Linked DNA regions of Struthio camelus. The protein of the gene in region 1 purifies or fractionates together with the protein of each later gene. This does not show direct contact. Links are inferred from orthologs where the notes say so. Each region holds a gene or a part of one and is shown on either strand. Other genes may lie near its edges.

Evidence for each region.
Region 2: the proteins of COPS6 (region 1) and torsin-1A-interacting protein 2 purify together in Homo sapiens (affinity purification with mass spectrometry, with the first as the bait; 3 studies listed by BioGRID). This does not show direct contact. The link is inferred for Struthio camelus from reciprocal best matches to the Homo sapiens genes COPS6 and TOR1AIP2.

What each region holds. Positions count from the first base shown.
Region 1 is NC_090978.1:609,707-616,891, forward strand, and holds the start of COPS6 (COP9 signalosome complex subunit 6), read right to left. Parts: upstream 3,381-7,185; 5' UTR 3,330-3,380; coding exon of another isoform or gene 3,206-3,329; 5' UTR 3,187-3,205; intron 2,349-3,186; 5' UTR 2,258-2,348; coding exon 2,134-2,257; intron 1,480-2,133; coding exon 1,354-1,479; intron 1-1,353. Other genes in the region: lysophosphatidic acid receptor 5-like, read left to right, coding at 3,206-3,329, 3,957-4,042, 5,423-6,457. UniProt on the Homo sapiens protein: Component of the COP9 signalosome complex (CSN), a complex involved in various cellular and developmental processes.
Region 2 is NC_090949.1:6,528,922-6,536,455, reverse strand, and holds the start of torsin-1A-interacting protein 2, read left to right. Parts: upstream 1-4,379; 5' UTR 4,380-4,574; intron 4,575-5,693; 5' UTR 5,694-5,803; coding exon 5,804-5,837; intron 5,838-7,534. Other genes in the region: torsin-1A-interacting protein 1, read right to left, coding at 381-449, 604-748. UniProt on the Homo sapiens protein: Required for endoplasmic reticulum integrity. Regulates the distribution of TOR1A between the endoplasmic reticulum and the nuclear envelope as well as induces TOR1A, TOR1B and TOR3A ATPase activity.

The DNA.
Region 1 (7,185 bases):
TCTCTCCCCTCCAGCGTGGGATAGCCGGGGTTGGGGGGGGGCATCCCACCCAGCACAGGGTTGGTGGCACGGTCACCTTGTCACACCAGTGCCACTGGGTGTCCCCGTCCCCTGCTCTGCAGGACGCACATCCTCCCCCACAGCCAGCCCCAAGTGCAGAGCCACCATCCTCAAGGCACTGGGACCAGTATGGAGCTGCCAGGACCAGTCTGAGGGGCCCTGAGACCAGTCCAGGGGGCTGTGAGAGACACTGGGACCACTCTGGTGGCCCTGCGACCAGTCCAGGGGACTTGGGGGGGGGCTCATCCAGAGGGTTGTGGGGACAGTCGGGGGGGGGGGGCAAGGTGGGCAGTCGAGGGGGGGCACCGGGGGCATCAGGGGGTGCCAGGCATATCAGGGGGTGGCGGGGGGCAGTCTAGAGCCACGGGGGGCAGTTGGGGGGCACAGTCGGCAGTCGGGGGGCACCAGGGGGCTGTCGGGGGGTGCCGGGGGGGCAGTCGGGGGACAGCCAGGGGGCACCGGGGGTATCGGGGGTGGTGGGTGGCAGTCAGGGGGCACCAGGGGGTATCGGGGTGGCGAGGGGCAGCTGGTCGGCAGTCGGGGGGTCTCAGGGGGTGGTGGGGAGCAGTCAGGGGGCACCAGGGGGTATCGGGGGCGGCAGGGGGCAGGCAGGGGATGGCGGGGGGCAGTCGGGAAGCAGTCGGGAAGTATCAGGGAGCGGTGGGGGGGTATTGGGGGTATTGGGAGGCAGTTGGGGGGTATCAGGGAGCAATTGGGGGGTATCGGGGGACAGTTGGGGGTATCAGGGGACAGTTAGGGGGTATCAGGGGCAGCTGGGGGGCAGTCAGGGGACACCAGGAGGTATCAGGGGGTGGCAGGGGGCAGTCGGGGGTATCTGGGGGTATTGGGGGCAGTGGGGGGCAGTCGGAGGGTATTGGGGGACAATTGGGGGGTATCGGGGGCAGTCGGGGGGTATTGGGATTGGCGGGGGCAGTCGGAGGGTATCGGGGGCAGTTGGGGGGTATCGGGGGGCAGTCAGGGGGTATCAGGGGTATTGGGGGGTGGCAGGGACAGTTGGGGGGTATCGGGGGTCAGTCGGGGGTATCGGGGGCAGTCAGGGAGGTATTGGGGTATCGAGGGGGCAGTTGGGGGTATTGGGGGGCAGTCAGAGGGTATCGGGGGGCAGTGGGAGGGTATTGGGGGAAGTCGGGGGTATGGGGGGGCAGTCGGGGGTATCGGGGTCAGTCAGAGGGTATCGGGGAGCAGTGGGAGGGTATTGGGGGCAGTCGGGGGTATGGGGGGGCAGTCGGGGGTATCGGGGGGCAGTGGGGGGGTATCGGGGGGGGGGGTTACCTTGCCCGGGGCGCCCCTCCTGGGAGCGCATGCGGATCCAGTGGTCGGAGATGTTGAGGATGACGAGGGGGTGCAGGGCCACCGAGACGCTGCCCGTCACCCCCGCTGCCATCACCGAGGGGGCCGCTGCGGGGGCACCGCGTCAGGGGGCTGGGGGCGGGGCCGAGGGGGGCTGGGGGCGGGGCCGAGGATGGTGGGGGCGGGGCCGAGGGGGGCTGGGGGCGGGGCCGAGTGGGCTTCTGGCCCCTGGGGATTTTTTTTTGTGTGTGTGTGGGGGGGAAATGCACGACTTGTGGGCGTGGCTATAGGATCTAGGGCGGGGCCGTTGGGGGTGGAGGGGCGGGGCCAGGGCCTGGGGGCGGGGCCAGGGCGATAGGGCCCTCCCAGGTGAGACACACACCCCTCCCTTCCCCCCCCCAAAAAAGGGCAGGGCCAGGGGAATCGGGGCGGGGCCAAGGGGATTGGGGCGGAGCCAAAGGGACTGGGAGGGGGTCAAATGGATTGGGGCGTGGCCAAAGGGGGTTGGGGCGGGGCCAAGGCGGGTTTGGGCATGGCCAGTGGGGGGATTGGGGCGGGGCCAAGGGGGGTTGAGGCGGGGCCAGAGGGGGCAGTGGGCGGGGCCTCAGGGGTGGGACCCGCGCCGGACCCGCAACGCCCGGGGGCGTGTCTAGAGTCGTGGGGGCGGGGCCAAGACCCGGGGCGGGTGCGGGGTGAAGCCGGCGCCGAGGCGGCCCCCGGCGCCAGGCCCGGGAGCCCGGTTGAAGCCCCCGCGGGCGGTACCTGCTGCGTCCACCTCCATGCCGCCGGTCCCGTTGCTCCCGGCCGCGGAGGAAGAGGCGCCGGCCGCCGCCATCTTGGCTCGGCGTGTCCCCGCCCGGCCGCCGTACTCAGCGCCTCTGCGCATGCGCAGAGGGCGTGGGCGTTGGCTGCGGGGGGGCGAAGCGGGCGCGCATGCGCCGCGGAGAAACGCGGGAGTGTCGGCGGGCGCGCATGCGCTGTCGGCGGGAAGGCGGGCGGAGGGAGGGGGCTGGTCACGTGCCCTGCCCCCCCCCCCGCCCCGGTTGTCCTCATGTCCCACATGTCCATGGTGTCCCCGTCCCCAGGTGTCCCCTTCCCCAGGTGTCCCCAGGCTGAACATCTCCATGGTGTCCCCATCCCCAGGGTTTCCCCAGGCCCCCACATCTCCATGGTGTCCCCATCCCCAGGACATCCTCGGCCCCAGGTGTCCCCATCCCCGGGCTGACCCCAGGCCTCCACATCTCCATGATGTCTCCATCCCCAGGTGTCCCCATCCCCGGGGTGTCCCCAAGCCCCACATCTCCACTGCGTCCCCGTCCCCAGGCCCCCACATCTCCATGGTGTCCCCATCCCCAGGTGTCCCCATCCCCAGGACGTCCTTGGGCCCCCAGGTTGCCATGACGTTCTCTTCTCCAGGAGGTCCCCGTCCCTAGGCGTCCCTGTGCCCAGGGTGTCCCCAGGCCCCATGTCACCATGACATCCCCATCCCCAGGATGTCCCCCTCCCCAGGTGTCCCCAGGCCCCATGTCACCATGACATCCTCGTCCCCAGGTGTCCCCATCCCCAGGTTGTCCCCAGGCCCCACATCTCCACGGTGTCCCCATCCCCAAGTGTCCCTGTGCCCAGGACGTCCCCAGGCCCCATGTCCTCCCAAGATGTCCCCGTCCCCAGGGCCACTCCCATCCCCAGGCCCCACGTCCCCCCAAGACATCCCCATCCCCAGGGCCACTCCCATCCCCAGGCCCCGTGTCCCCCCAAGACGTCCCCATCCCCACATGCCCCCCTCCCCGTGCCCGTCCCCGTGCCCGTCCCCACGGCGTCCCCGTTCTCCCGGATGTGGCGCGCCGGCACTTCTCCTTCGGGTGGCAGGAAGCCACCGAGCAGCCGGGAGTTTCAGGGGCAGCTCTGGGCCCCGTTTGGCCCCTCGTCACCACCCGGGGGGGCTCCGCCGGTGCCAGGTGAGTGCTGGGACCGGGGTGGGCAGCCTCCCAGTGCCTCCCAGTCCCACCCAGTCCAGCCTGGTCCCTCCCAGCACCTCCCAGTCCTTCCCAGCGCCCCTCCAGGCCAGCCCCTTGCTGCCCTTCCCGCCCAGTCCAACCTCGTTCCTCCCACCCAGGCCTTTCCCAATGTCTCTCAGTTCAACCCACTGCCTCCCAGTCCAACCTAAATCCTCCCCAGCGCCTCCCAGTTCAACCCAGTGCCTCTCACTCCACCCTAGTTTCTCCCAGACCCTTTCCGGTACCCCCCCCCAGACCAACCCTGAGCCTTGCGGTCCCCTCCCACTGCTCCCAGCCCAACCTAAATCCTCCCCAGTGCCTCCCAGTTCAACCCAGTGCCTCCCACTCCACCCTAGTTTCTCCCAGACCCTTTCCGGTGCCCCCCCCCGGATCTCATGGTCCCCTCTTAATGCCTCCCAGTTCAACCCAGTGCCTCTCACTCCACCCTAGTTCCTCCTAGACCCTTTCCGGTGCCCCCCCAGACCAATCCTGAGCCTTGCGGTCCCCTCCTACTGCCTCCCAGCCCAACCTAAATCCTCCCCAGTGCCTCCCAGTTCAACCCAGTGCTCCCCAGTTTCCACCTACCAGGCTTGCGTCAGGAGCTTGGCCCCAAAAGCACCCCGGGAGCAGCCACTCTGGACCCCACCAGGCACCCGGCGTGGGGAGGGAGCACGGTGAGTCCCCGGGACAAGGGGGACAGGGTGCGGGGGGTCCCCAGGGTGGGGGGTCCCTCCCAGGGGGGTCAGGGCAGGGAGCCAGGAGGCCCCCTGCAGACCTCCCAAACTCCCCGATCACCCCAAACACCCCGGGGACCCCCCCAGCTCCACAGCTGGGAGCCCCTTGGGACCCCAAATACCCTAGAGATCCCCTCAGGGACCCCCAAATATCCCAGGGATCCTCCCAAATACCCTAAGGACCCCCCAAACACCTCTGAGACCCCCTCAGGGCCTCCCCAAATACCTCAGAGCCCCTCCAGATACCCCCAAATGACTCTGAGACCTCTCAGGGACTCCCACATACCCCTGGGATCCCCCTAAATACCCCCAAACACCCCCGAGACCCCCTCAGGAAGCCTCCAAATGCCTCCGAGACCCCCCTCAGGGACCCCCAAATACCTCAGAGCCCCCCCCAAGTACCCCTAAGTGCCTCTGAGACCCCCTCAGGGATCCCCAAATACCCCAGGGTCCCCCCAAACGCCTCTGAGACCCCCTCAGGGACCCCCAAATACCCCAGGGACCCCCCCAAACACCTCCAAACACTTCTGAGACCCCCTCAGGGATCCCCAAATACCCCAGAGACCCCTCCAAACACCTCTGAGACCCCTCAGGGACCCCCAAATATCCCAGAGCCCCCCAGATACCCCCGAGTGCCTCTGAGACCCCCTCAGGGATCCCCAAATACCCCAGAGACCCCCCCAAACACCTCTGAGAACCCTCAGGGACCCCCAAATACCTCAGAGCCCCCCCAAATACCCCCAAACACCCCAAGACCCCCTCAGGGACCCCCAAATACCCCCCAAACACCCCCAAGACCCCCTCAGGGACCCCCAGAGACCACCCCCAAACACCTCCGAGACCCCCTCAGGGATCCCCAAATACCCCAGAGACCCCCCCCAAACACCTCTGAGACCCCTCAAGGACCCCCAAATACCCCAGAGCCCCCCAGATACCCCTAAGTGCCTCTGAGACCCCCTCAGGGATCCCCAAATACCCCAGGGTCCCCCCAAACGCCTCTAAGACCCCCTCAGGGACCCCCAAATACCCCAGAGCCCCCCCAGATACCCCCGAGTGCCTCTGAGACCCCCTCAGGGACCCCCAAATACCTCAGAGCCCCCCCAAATACCCCCAAACACCCCCAGACCCCCTCAGGGACCCCCAAATACCCCCCAAACACCCCCAAGACCCCCTCAGGGACCCCCAGAGACCACCCCCAAACACCTCCGAGACCCCTCCCCAACTCCTACCAACCCCCCTCAACCAGGCTCCCGGGCAGGTCGGACCCCCCCCCCCAAAAAAAACAAACAAACCAACCCCCCCATCCCATCCCATCCCCAGGCCCCCGCCGCCACGGCCATCCTGGAGCCGCCGGGCCCGAGCGGGCCGGCGCCTTGCGCCAACTGCACGGCGGGCGCCAACCCGGCCTTCGCCGCCCTCTACGGCCTCATCTTCGCCCTGGGCCTGGGGCTGAACGGGGCGGCGCTGGCGTTGCTGGGCCGGGGCGGGCGGCCGGCGGCCCCGACGGCCACCTACCTGCGCAACCTGGCCGCCTGCGACCTGCTGCTGGTGGCGTCGCTGCCGGCCCGCGTGGCCCATTACGCCGGCCGGGCGGCTCTGCCGCGAGCCGCGTGCGAGCTGCTGGGTTGGTTGCTGCTGGTCAACATGTACGGCAGCATCTTCCTGCTGACGGGCCTCAACGGCGACCGTTGGGCGGCCGTCTGCTTGCCTTTACACGCCGGCGCGGCCCGTTTCCGGCGCCGGGCGGCTCTGGTGTGCGCGGCCGCTTGGGCGCTCAGCGCTTTGGGTTGCGTGCCGGTCTACGCCGCCGGCCGGCGAGCGGCGGAGGAGGCGACGACGGCGGCGGAGGCGACGCGCTGCTTCGACGAGCGGCCCCGCTACATCACGCAGCCGGCCGTGGCTTGGGCCATGGCGGCGGCCTTCGGCCTGCCGTTGGCCGTCGTGGTGGGTTGCTCGTGGGCCCTGTTGCGGGCCGTGGGGCGCAGCCCGGCCGCCCGCATGGCTTTGCTGGACGGCGCCAAGGTGAGGCGCATGGTGCTCAGCCACGTGGCCATCTTCTTGGCGTGCTTCATGCCTTTCCACGCCGTCCTGCTCTGCTACCAGCTACGCGCCGCCCCAGGGCCGGCCCTCGACCAAGCCTACCGCTGCACCCTGCTCCTCGCCTGCACCAACGCCGTCCTCGACCCTCTCGCCTACTACTTCGCCGCCGAGTCCTTCCCGCGCTCCGTCGCGACGCCCGTCACCTCCCCGCGACCGGCCCGGGCAGCTCAGGCCACCACCGCCGCTGCCACGGTGCTTGCCGGTTCCTCCACCCCGAAGACGCCGGCGACCTGGGGTTTCCGGTGTTGGCGGTGAATAAAAGGGGATGTGTCGCAATGGTTTTTCCCCCCCTGCCCCACCCCACGCCACCACCAACCACCGCTGGGTTTGGCGTGGTTGGGGACAGGAAGGGACGGCGATGGGGGACAGATGGGGACTGGGTTGGGGGACAGGAGGGGACGGCGATGGGGGACAGATGGGGACCAGGATCGGGGACAGGAAGGGACCACGATGGAGGAGAAGAGGGGACCATGATGGGGGAAAGCAGTGGACAGGGATGGGGGACAGATGGGGATCGGCATGGGGGACAGACAGGGACCAGGATGCGGGAGAGGAGGGGACCTGGATGGGGGACAGATGGGGACCTGGATGGGGGACAGACAGGGACCACGATGGAGGAGAAGAGGGGACCACAATGGGGGACAGATGGGGACCGGGATGGGGGGACAGAAGGGGATCGGCATGGGGGACAGATGGGGACAGGGATGGGGGACAGATGGGGACCTGGATGGGGGACAGGAAGGGACCACGATGGAGGAGAAGAGGGTACCCCAAGACAGATGGGGACTGGGATGGGGGACAGGGATGGGGGACAGATGGGGATCGGCATGGGGGACAGACAGGGACCAGGATGGGGGAGAGGAGGGGACGGGGATGGGTTACTGGGATGGAGGAGAAGAGGGGACTGGGATGGGAGACAGATGGGGACCGGGGTGGGGGACAGGAAGGGATGGTGATGGGGTAGAGGAGGGGACAGGGATGGG
Region 2 (7,534 bases), on another chromosome or scaffold:
ATGACCTGTTTTTGCAACTCAAGACATCTTCTTTTAATTCAGGCTTTTGAAACAAAGCAGCTTTAGTAAAATCACCCATCCCCAATTTTAACCCCCGACTAAACACTGTTCCAAGTCACGCACCGGCTAAAACCGTCCTCCAAGGGCTTCGGAGCGCTCTACACGCACCGATCACTTTGAAAGACCGAGGAGCATGTAGCACACGTATCAAATCAAAGCAGAAGCTGGATTTCCTCACCTGTACACCACAACAGCGGTGAGACCAGCAAAGGAGCCAAAAACCAACAACCGACGCTTCCTCAGGCCTTGCGCGCCTCAGTATCTTTGCAGCGCAAAGCGGCGAACGCAGCAACTTCTCCGGGTGAGAAATCACAACTTACCTGCCGATCTACATGCTCTAATAGGGGGCCGGGTCAAGGAATCGGGACTTCCAAAGGGATGCTCGTTCGCTAAAACGAAAAACATATTAAACGCGCAGCAAACCCGAGCTGGTCCCTCGGCCGCCCGCCCGCCCGCCCCGCTTCGCGCCGCCTCCCCGCCCCCTCAACCGCGGGACCCACCGCGGGGCGCCCAGCGCTGCGCGCGCCCGCCCGCGCCGCTCACCCGCCGCAGCGCCTCCGGGACCGGGCTCGGCCTCGGCCTCCTCCGCCTGCGCCGCTCCTCCCGCGCCCGACAACCGGGGGCTCTTCCGCCTGCGCTTCAGCTCGGTGGCGTCCGGCGGAGCCTGCCCGCCGCTATCCCCCACCATCCTCCCCGCCGCCGCCGCCGCCGCCGCCGCCCCACGGAGCCGCCGACGCCGCCGTCCCCTGCCCCGGCCGCCCGCCGCCGCCGCTCCGCTCCGCTCCGGACCGAAGCTGCCGCCTTCCCGCGGAGGGGGCGTCGCCGCGAACCTCACTTCCCGCCGCGGGGCGGTGCCGGCGGCCGCCGCTTCCGCCGCGCCGCCATTCGGCGGGGCCGGCGGGCGGATGGAGCGCCGCGGTGTCACGTGGTACAGCGGCGCCCCGACCCCCGGCATGGCCGCGCGCCCTTCCCGCCCTTTCCTCTCTGCCCTCCCCCTCCTCGCGCCGCTGAGGCGGCGGCAGCGGCCGCCGGAGCCCGCCCGTCCGCCCCCGCTTCCGACGGGAAAGGCGGCGGCCGTCCCGGCGCCCCACGCTGCCCCCAAGTGAAAAAAATGAAGGAGAGCCCAGCGCGCCGGGCCGGCCCCCTTGGCCCGGCCTCCCGCCTGCCTGCCCGCCTCAGGCGGCGGCGGCCTCGGTGCCTCGGGCCTGGTAAAGGCCGCGGGGGCCCCACCGGCCCTGGCCGCCCCGGCTGCGGGCGCCCTTCGAGCCCGAGCGGGCGGGTGCGAGAGCCCGCGGCACACGGCACCCGTCTCGTTTGGAGGCAAGGCGGTATTTGCCGGACAAATTAACGGGCACCTTGGCGCGTACCAGTAAATACCGCCCTTCTCTCCAGGTGTGGAAGCTGAATGCAGAGGCAGAGCAATGTTTCCGAAAGCAAAAACTCAGAAGAGGGTGTGATAAATAACCTCATTAGGAAGGAGGTTTCAAAGTACAACGGCACTGCTCGTTCTGATTCAAACCCGAGTAGAAAAAAGAGCTGCCGGATGACTGACTCATCGTTTCTGATCAGGCAGGTGACCTGCTGGAAATGAAGTTAGAAGAAGTACCGCTTTATTCACAGGTTTCCAAAGAACAGAACTAAATGGTTACATTATGTAAACAATGACATTAGGTAAAGAAAAATAGGACTCGAAAGCATGTTCTCTATAATCCAGTTGATTTATGATTACCGTTCGTCCTCCTGCAGACTGAGAGGGGAGACTATTCCTCTTTAAAGAAAACTCCTCATCAGACTTGGGTTAAAAAAGGATCAGATTTGTTAAGTCAGAGTTCTGTATGCCAGCTGAAATGCAAGGGCATGAACGCTAAAAGGGAAAAAGCAACATTACACAATGTCAACATGCTTTTTTGTAATAGCTGTGTGATCCTGGATAGTGCCAAAACAGTTTTGTCGTAGCTAATTCTCTTGCCAAAATGCTTTTCAGTAACGAAGCGTGAAGTCTGCAAAGGCTTACACTAGTGCCTGACTTTGTCCTGACTCACGGTCCTTGGCGGGTGCAGTGCCACCATCAGTTTTAGTAATCTATAATGCATAGAGGGTTAGTAATCGGGGGGCTCAACATCCAGGCAGCAGCAAGCAGCAAGCCCAGAGGTGGAGGCAGGGAGTGACAGCGTTCAACAGCTTCATCAGTGACCTGGATGAAGCGTCCTCACACATCTGCAAACGTTACCAACTTTCTCCTCTTGCTCTCTCCTTTGAATAATCTCCCTGCCTTTTCCTGAGGTCCCCTGCAGCTCCTGTCCACTTTGACCACCTTTCCTATTTCTTACTTATGGCTCGAAGCAGATCAAGTCAAACGTATCTTTGGCCAGGCGTGCAAGGTGGACAGCAGCAAAGACCAGGACCCTCAGGAAGGTGTTGATCTACTCACAGCCTGATCTTGGGACTATCCGGCAGCTATGATGCTAGGAGAGCTCTCTGTAGATAAGCCACGGAGACTGTTGCTTCCTGCTTCGCCAACCTCCCTGGATTTATAGTCCTCTACTGCAACCTGTGAGGGGTTGGCCGTGATAAAAGAATTTGCTGAATCTGCCAAGAAAGGAGGTGGACTCTGTCCCCTCCCAGCCACTATCAACAGGGTGGCTCTGCAGTTCCCCGAGGAAGCTGCCTGCCTTTCTTCACTGCTGGAGAGCAGGTGCAATCTTGCTACTGCTACAGGAGGTAGGAAAACAGGGAGATCCATACTGACCATGAAGAAGCCCATCTATTCTCTATCCAGCCTAAATCAGCATGTATCTTAGAAGTATTAGTCCACATCATGCAAGCAGATTTGTTTCTGTCATAAAATCTGTACAATCTTGTGCCCATGCACACATCTTAAAATAAGGTACCACCTTTCTGCTATGACCAGCATGGGTGTTGATACGCATATACACACTTAACCGTTTGTGTAGCATGGCACACGTGCATGTCTGTCCCGTAACCGAGCAATTACAATAGGTTGAGGGACGGACACAAAAGCAGGCACAGGCAGGGGGACAGGTCATGGAGGCCTTTGGAAAGAGGGAGCAGGCCATCCGGCAGGCCCAATGGCCCAGTTGACCTCTTTTTGGCTGTAACACCCCCAGTACAATGGTTCGGGATGCGGGGGGAGTGTGAGGAAAGCGACCACAGAGCGGCACCCAGCTCACATGCTCCACCTAAATGGCATCTCTCATTGCCAGGTACATCCCTGCCCAGTCCTGCATTAACTGCTGGTGGACCTGCTGTCCATGAATTAGTCCAATCCTTTTTTTGAACCTGCTGACACTCTGCCTCCACAGCCTTCTGTAGCAACAAAATCTGAAAGTTTCTACATTTTCTGCATCTGTATTTTTTTTTTCTGCCCACTTGAACCTGACCTCCTACCTGTTTTATCAAGTGCCCCACGTTCTCTTACTGAGGGACCTGGTGAGTAACAACTCAGCATCAATCAAATCCCCTCTCTGCTTTCCAAATGGAAGAGCCCCAGCCGTTTACTCTCTGCTCCATACCTGTACTATTTCGGTTGCCTTTCTCTGTACTTTGTTTCAGCAGTTTGTCACTGGGCTCCCCTGGGGTGCTGGTAAAAAGGTTGCGGGCTCAGAGGAGGGCTCCAGTCTCTGCATAGCTGTTCCTCGCACCGGATGCCTTTCCACCCCACTGTGCCCTGCTCCACGCCACCAGTCCCCTTGAAATGCCCCCCAGCAGGGTATCGGGTGGCAGGGGGCAGAAAGCGTCTGTCCCTTGTGCGGACACAGTGAGGCCAATTATAATGTCTTTTGAAAATCATTGCCCCAGCAAGGCCAGGAGCAGCTGCACAGGCTCGCTCTGGGCTCTTCTGCCTGCTGAGGTGCCGGGCACATCCCCGCGCCTGGTTCCCCTCCAGGCGGGTGCTCAACACGCTCCCTTTCACGGGAATGCCCCAGCCTCCCTGCACTCCCAGAAGGTGACTTTTCCAGAGTCTGAGGGTTGTTGGCTACATTTGGGGCATTTTGTAATACTTCAGTCTTCCTAAATCATCTCTCAAAACAATTTCTCTCCCTGCTGCGATTTATTTAAATCTGCAACACTGTTACCTAACATGGAAAGAAGCTAGTCATTCGGTTGGCCTGAAGGAAACTGCGTGCAACTGCAGAGTTTCAGAAATACAGCCAAAAAAAAAAAAAAAAGTGACCTTTTCCTAAATACTCCTTGGCGCAATGCCCTTGCTGATCTAGTTATTGCTCATTAAGGAAAAGCCAGCCGTCTTCGGAGGGAAAGAAGGAAAACTACAGCTCCCAGCAGCCTGCCTGGGCACCGGGGAAGGGCAGAGTTCACTGTCACGTTGACAGCGGAGGATTAAGAGTGCACGGCTGGGGAACGGGCTGTCCTGCCAACCGCGGGGCCACCAGGCCTCCGGGAAGGGCGCGCGCACGCTACGGTGCTGTCACCAGCCGCCTCTTGCAGCCCCTCTGCTTGGCTTCGCCACCTGGACCGGCTCCAAACCTGCACGGGTAAGCGCTGACTCCAGCAGAGACTTTGCTCCTCCGACTTCCTTCTTCTGCCAGCGTCACTGCGGGGACCCAGCGCGGGGAGGGGACGGGAGGGACGCGAGCCCAGCAGCAATTATATCCCCCCCCAGCCTCATAGGCAGCAAGAAAACCCGGTTATAGAGACAGCATCGGGTGGCAGAAGGTGCCCCCTTCGGCTAGGAGAGCTGCTGTAAAGATCGGATATTGAGGTCTTGTATTTCACGTAAATCTGCAGGAACTGGTCCCTGGCAGGGAAAGTTTCTCGTGCGTTGTACCTGCTCCCTGCTGCTCACCCTTGCTGGCTGGTGGTCGGGCAGGCGTTGCGCTCATGAAACCTATGGGCTGGAGTCTGTATTGATGGGGAAACGCGGGCACCAGAGAAGTCTGCTTCCACAGTGCCCGTTTCCTCTAAGACTCCCTGTCTGGAGGTTTCCGAGTGGTCTTGAAAACACAGCTTCGCTGTCTTCGGCTATGCCAGTAATACTAGCTACCTGCTGCGGGCGGCTGCCTGCTCCCACGGTGCTTCTGCTGCGGGAGGGACTATCGCTGCGGATGGTGTAGGAGAGTCGGCCCGCAGCTCCCAGTTTATTAATATCCATTAATTAACATTAAAAAGTAATTATTAATATCATAATAAAGCTAGGGCTTTGCTCTGTGTCGATGCAGCTGCGTTGTGCAGGATACCGGGTGTCTCCAATTGCATGTAAGAGCCTGCAGAGCCGCAGCCTCGAGGCCTGCAGTCTCGGAGGCGGCACAGCATGGCTGCGGCTGCCCGGCTGGATAAGAAACCCCTGCCCGGGCGTGCTGGCTTGTCCCAGGACAGCTCTGCAAAACTGGTGCAGCCCCTGGACTGTTTGTAGCCTGCTGGGCAGGTGAAATAGTTACTATTGTTTGGGCTCAAGCGCTCGTGTCATGCATTATTGGAAATGCGCCTGGGCACATCCATCCATTTTCACATCACCCAAGCAGCTTGATAAGTACAGACAGGGAGGGAGCAGCCTCCTCTTCCACTCAATCACAGCTTCTGCGCTTGTGCTTATCAGTTTTACTGGTGGTTAGTTGCAATTCCTGAGGCCCTGAAGGGATGGTGTCTGCGTGCAGGGGTAGGACTTGCTCGGCCACTCAAGCGGCAGGGAGACAAGTCTCCTTATGACCAAGTCGGAAAGTGAAACAGAACAGTGCAGAGCCCAGGACTCCAAGAGAGCAAGAAAATGGAAGAGAATCCAAATGCGGACCTCTGCCAAGGTAAGCAAATCCCACTCGTGCTCCATGTACTGCCCCTTTGCAAGAAAATTTCAACAGTGAAAAGGGAAACCTGAAGCAAGAAAGAGAAAGCGGCTATCTTTTGCGGGGGTGGGGAGGGAGGGGAAGGATAAGTTACTTTCAGTTTTGGATTCCCAGCAGCAACAAGCTTAGACTTGGTGTCCAGGACTGTAGCGCAAGAAGGACTCCAGAATGGGAGAGGTTTCTTCCCAGCCTCCCAGCGCTTCCCCATGAGAGGCAGCTTTGTTGTGAAGCTGGTTGCAGAGAGGAGAATACCCTCTCTGGGGCAGCAGGCCAGAGAGAGGACAATCCAGTAGAGCAACTCCCATCGCGGGGATACATGCAATGGGTGGCAGGGGCTGGAGAGCAACTCCTTCCTATTACCGCTGAGGAAGAAGAGGCTCTGTTGAACACTGGTATCTCAGACGGACCCCCTTAGAAAGGCAGCTCTGAGTTTATAACAAAATACACTTCCATTTGAGCAGCGAGCCTCAAAGGCTTATTTATACCTGGCAGGCAGGCACACATTTCACACAGAGACAACTTGGCTCAAGCTCAGGATCCAAACTGCAGAGCCCAGATTCCACAAATCTACAGGTGCTTAAATAACAAGCCCTTCTTCCACCATCTATGGATGGGAAACCTCCCTGGACAGGCGCTGTTTGTGCCCAGTTTGAATAGCAGGATACCTCTCAGGTTCCTCACGTTTCAATGTCTAGCATGTACTTACATTCTCCTGGTACCTTGTTATTAGTAGTACATGTGGGTATTTCAGTGATGCCTAGATGCTATAATCAGATAAGACCTGTCCTAAGCGTTCTGAAATGTTCCCATAATAATCAGCAACAAAGAACGTAATAATCATGCTCCAAAGGACAGTGTGTTCTGACACGAAACCAGTGCAGCTATTTGTCTGTTTTCAAATTAGTGGGGAGTTCCTTGCGATTTTTAATCAATCTTTATTCTAATTTTAGCACAATCATTTCTGTCACTGTAGAGCTAGATCTGTAGGATCATTCACACTCCCGCCCTTTTTGTTTAAAAAAAAAAAAAAGTCAGATTTGAGCTGCAGTGTTAAGCATTTGCAAGATTCCAGATCTTGCCAAACTAATGTTCAGCTTCAGAATCTCTCTGTTGAATTCCTCTCTGATATTTGCTCTTAATTTGCTGCTTCTACAATACCTGATCTTAACTGTTTGGGAGAACAGCTCCAGAACAGGGACAGAGCACAAACAGAGCTAACATTTAATTTTTTTTCAGGCAGATGCTCAGAGTGTTGACATTAACTATTCCGGCCAATATCCAACAACAGCTTTAGAAACGCTTCAGATCAGTCATCTTAATTTACCAGCCTAGGAAAACCACTGTCTGTGGAAGATGTGGTAACATATCCTAACACTTAATGAAGAAACTGCTCCCCATCATAGGGCAACGTTAACGGGGTTTGTGCATTAAAAGCATTTCTATTTACCAGCCCTGGACAGGTTGAAGTGTAGATAGAGGAGTGTGTCCCTAAAAGTGATTAGTCATTGCGTAGCCACTATTGCAGTCACAAATGCAAAGACCCAGTTGAGTCCTTTTTGAAAGCATGAGGCAGCACGATTCATTGGTGATGATGGCTGGTCACAGTAAATTCTGTTCTTGGCAATTTGTTTGTATAGATGTTTCTGAAATGCAAA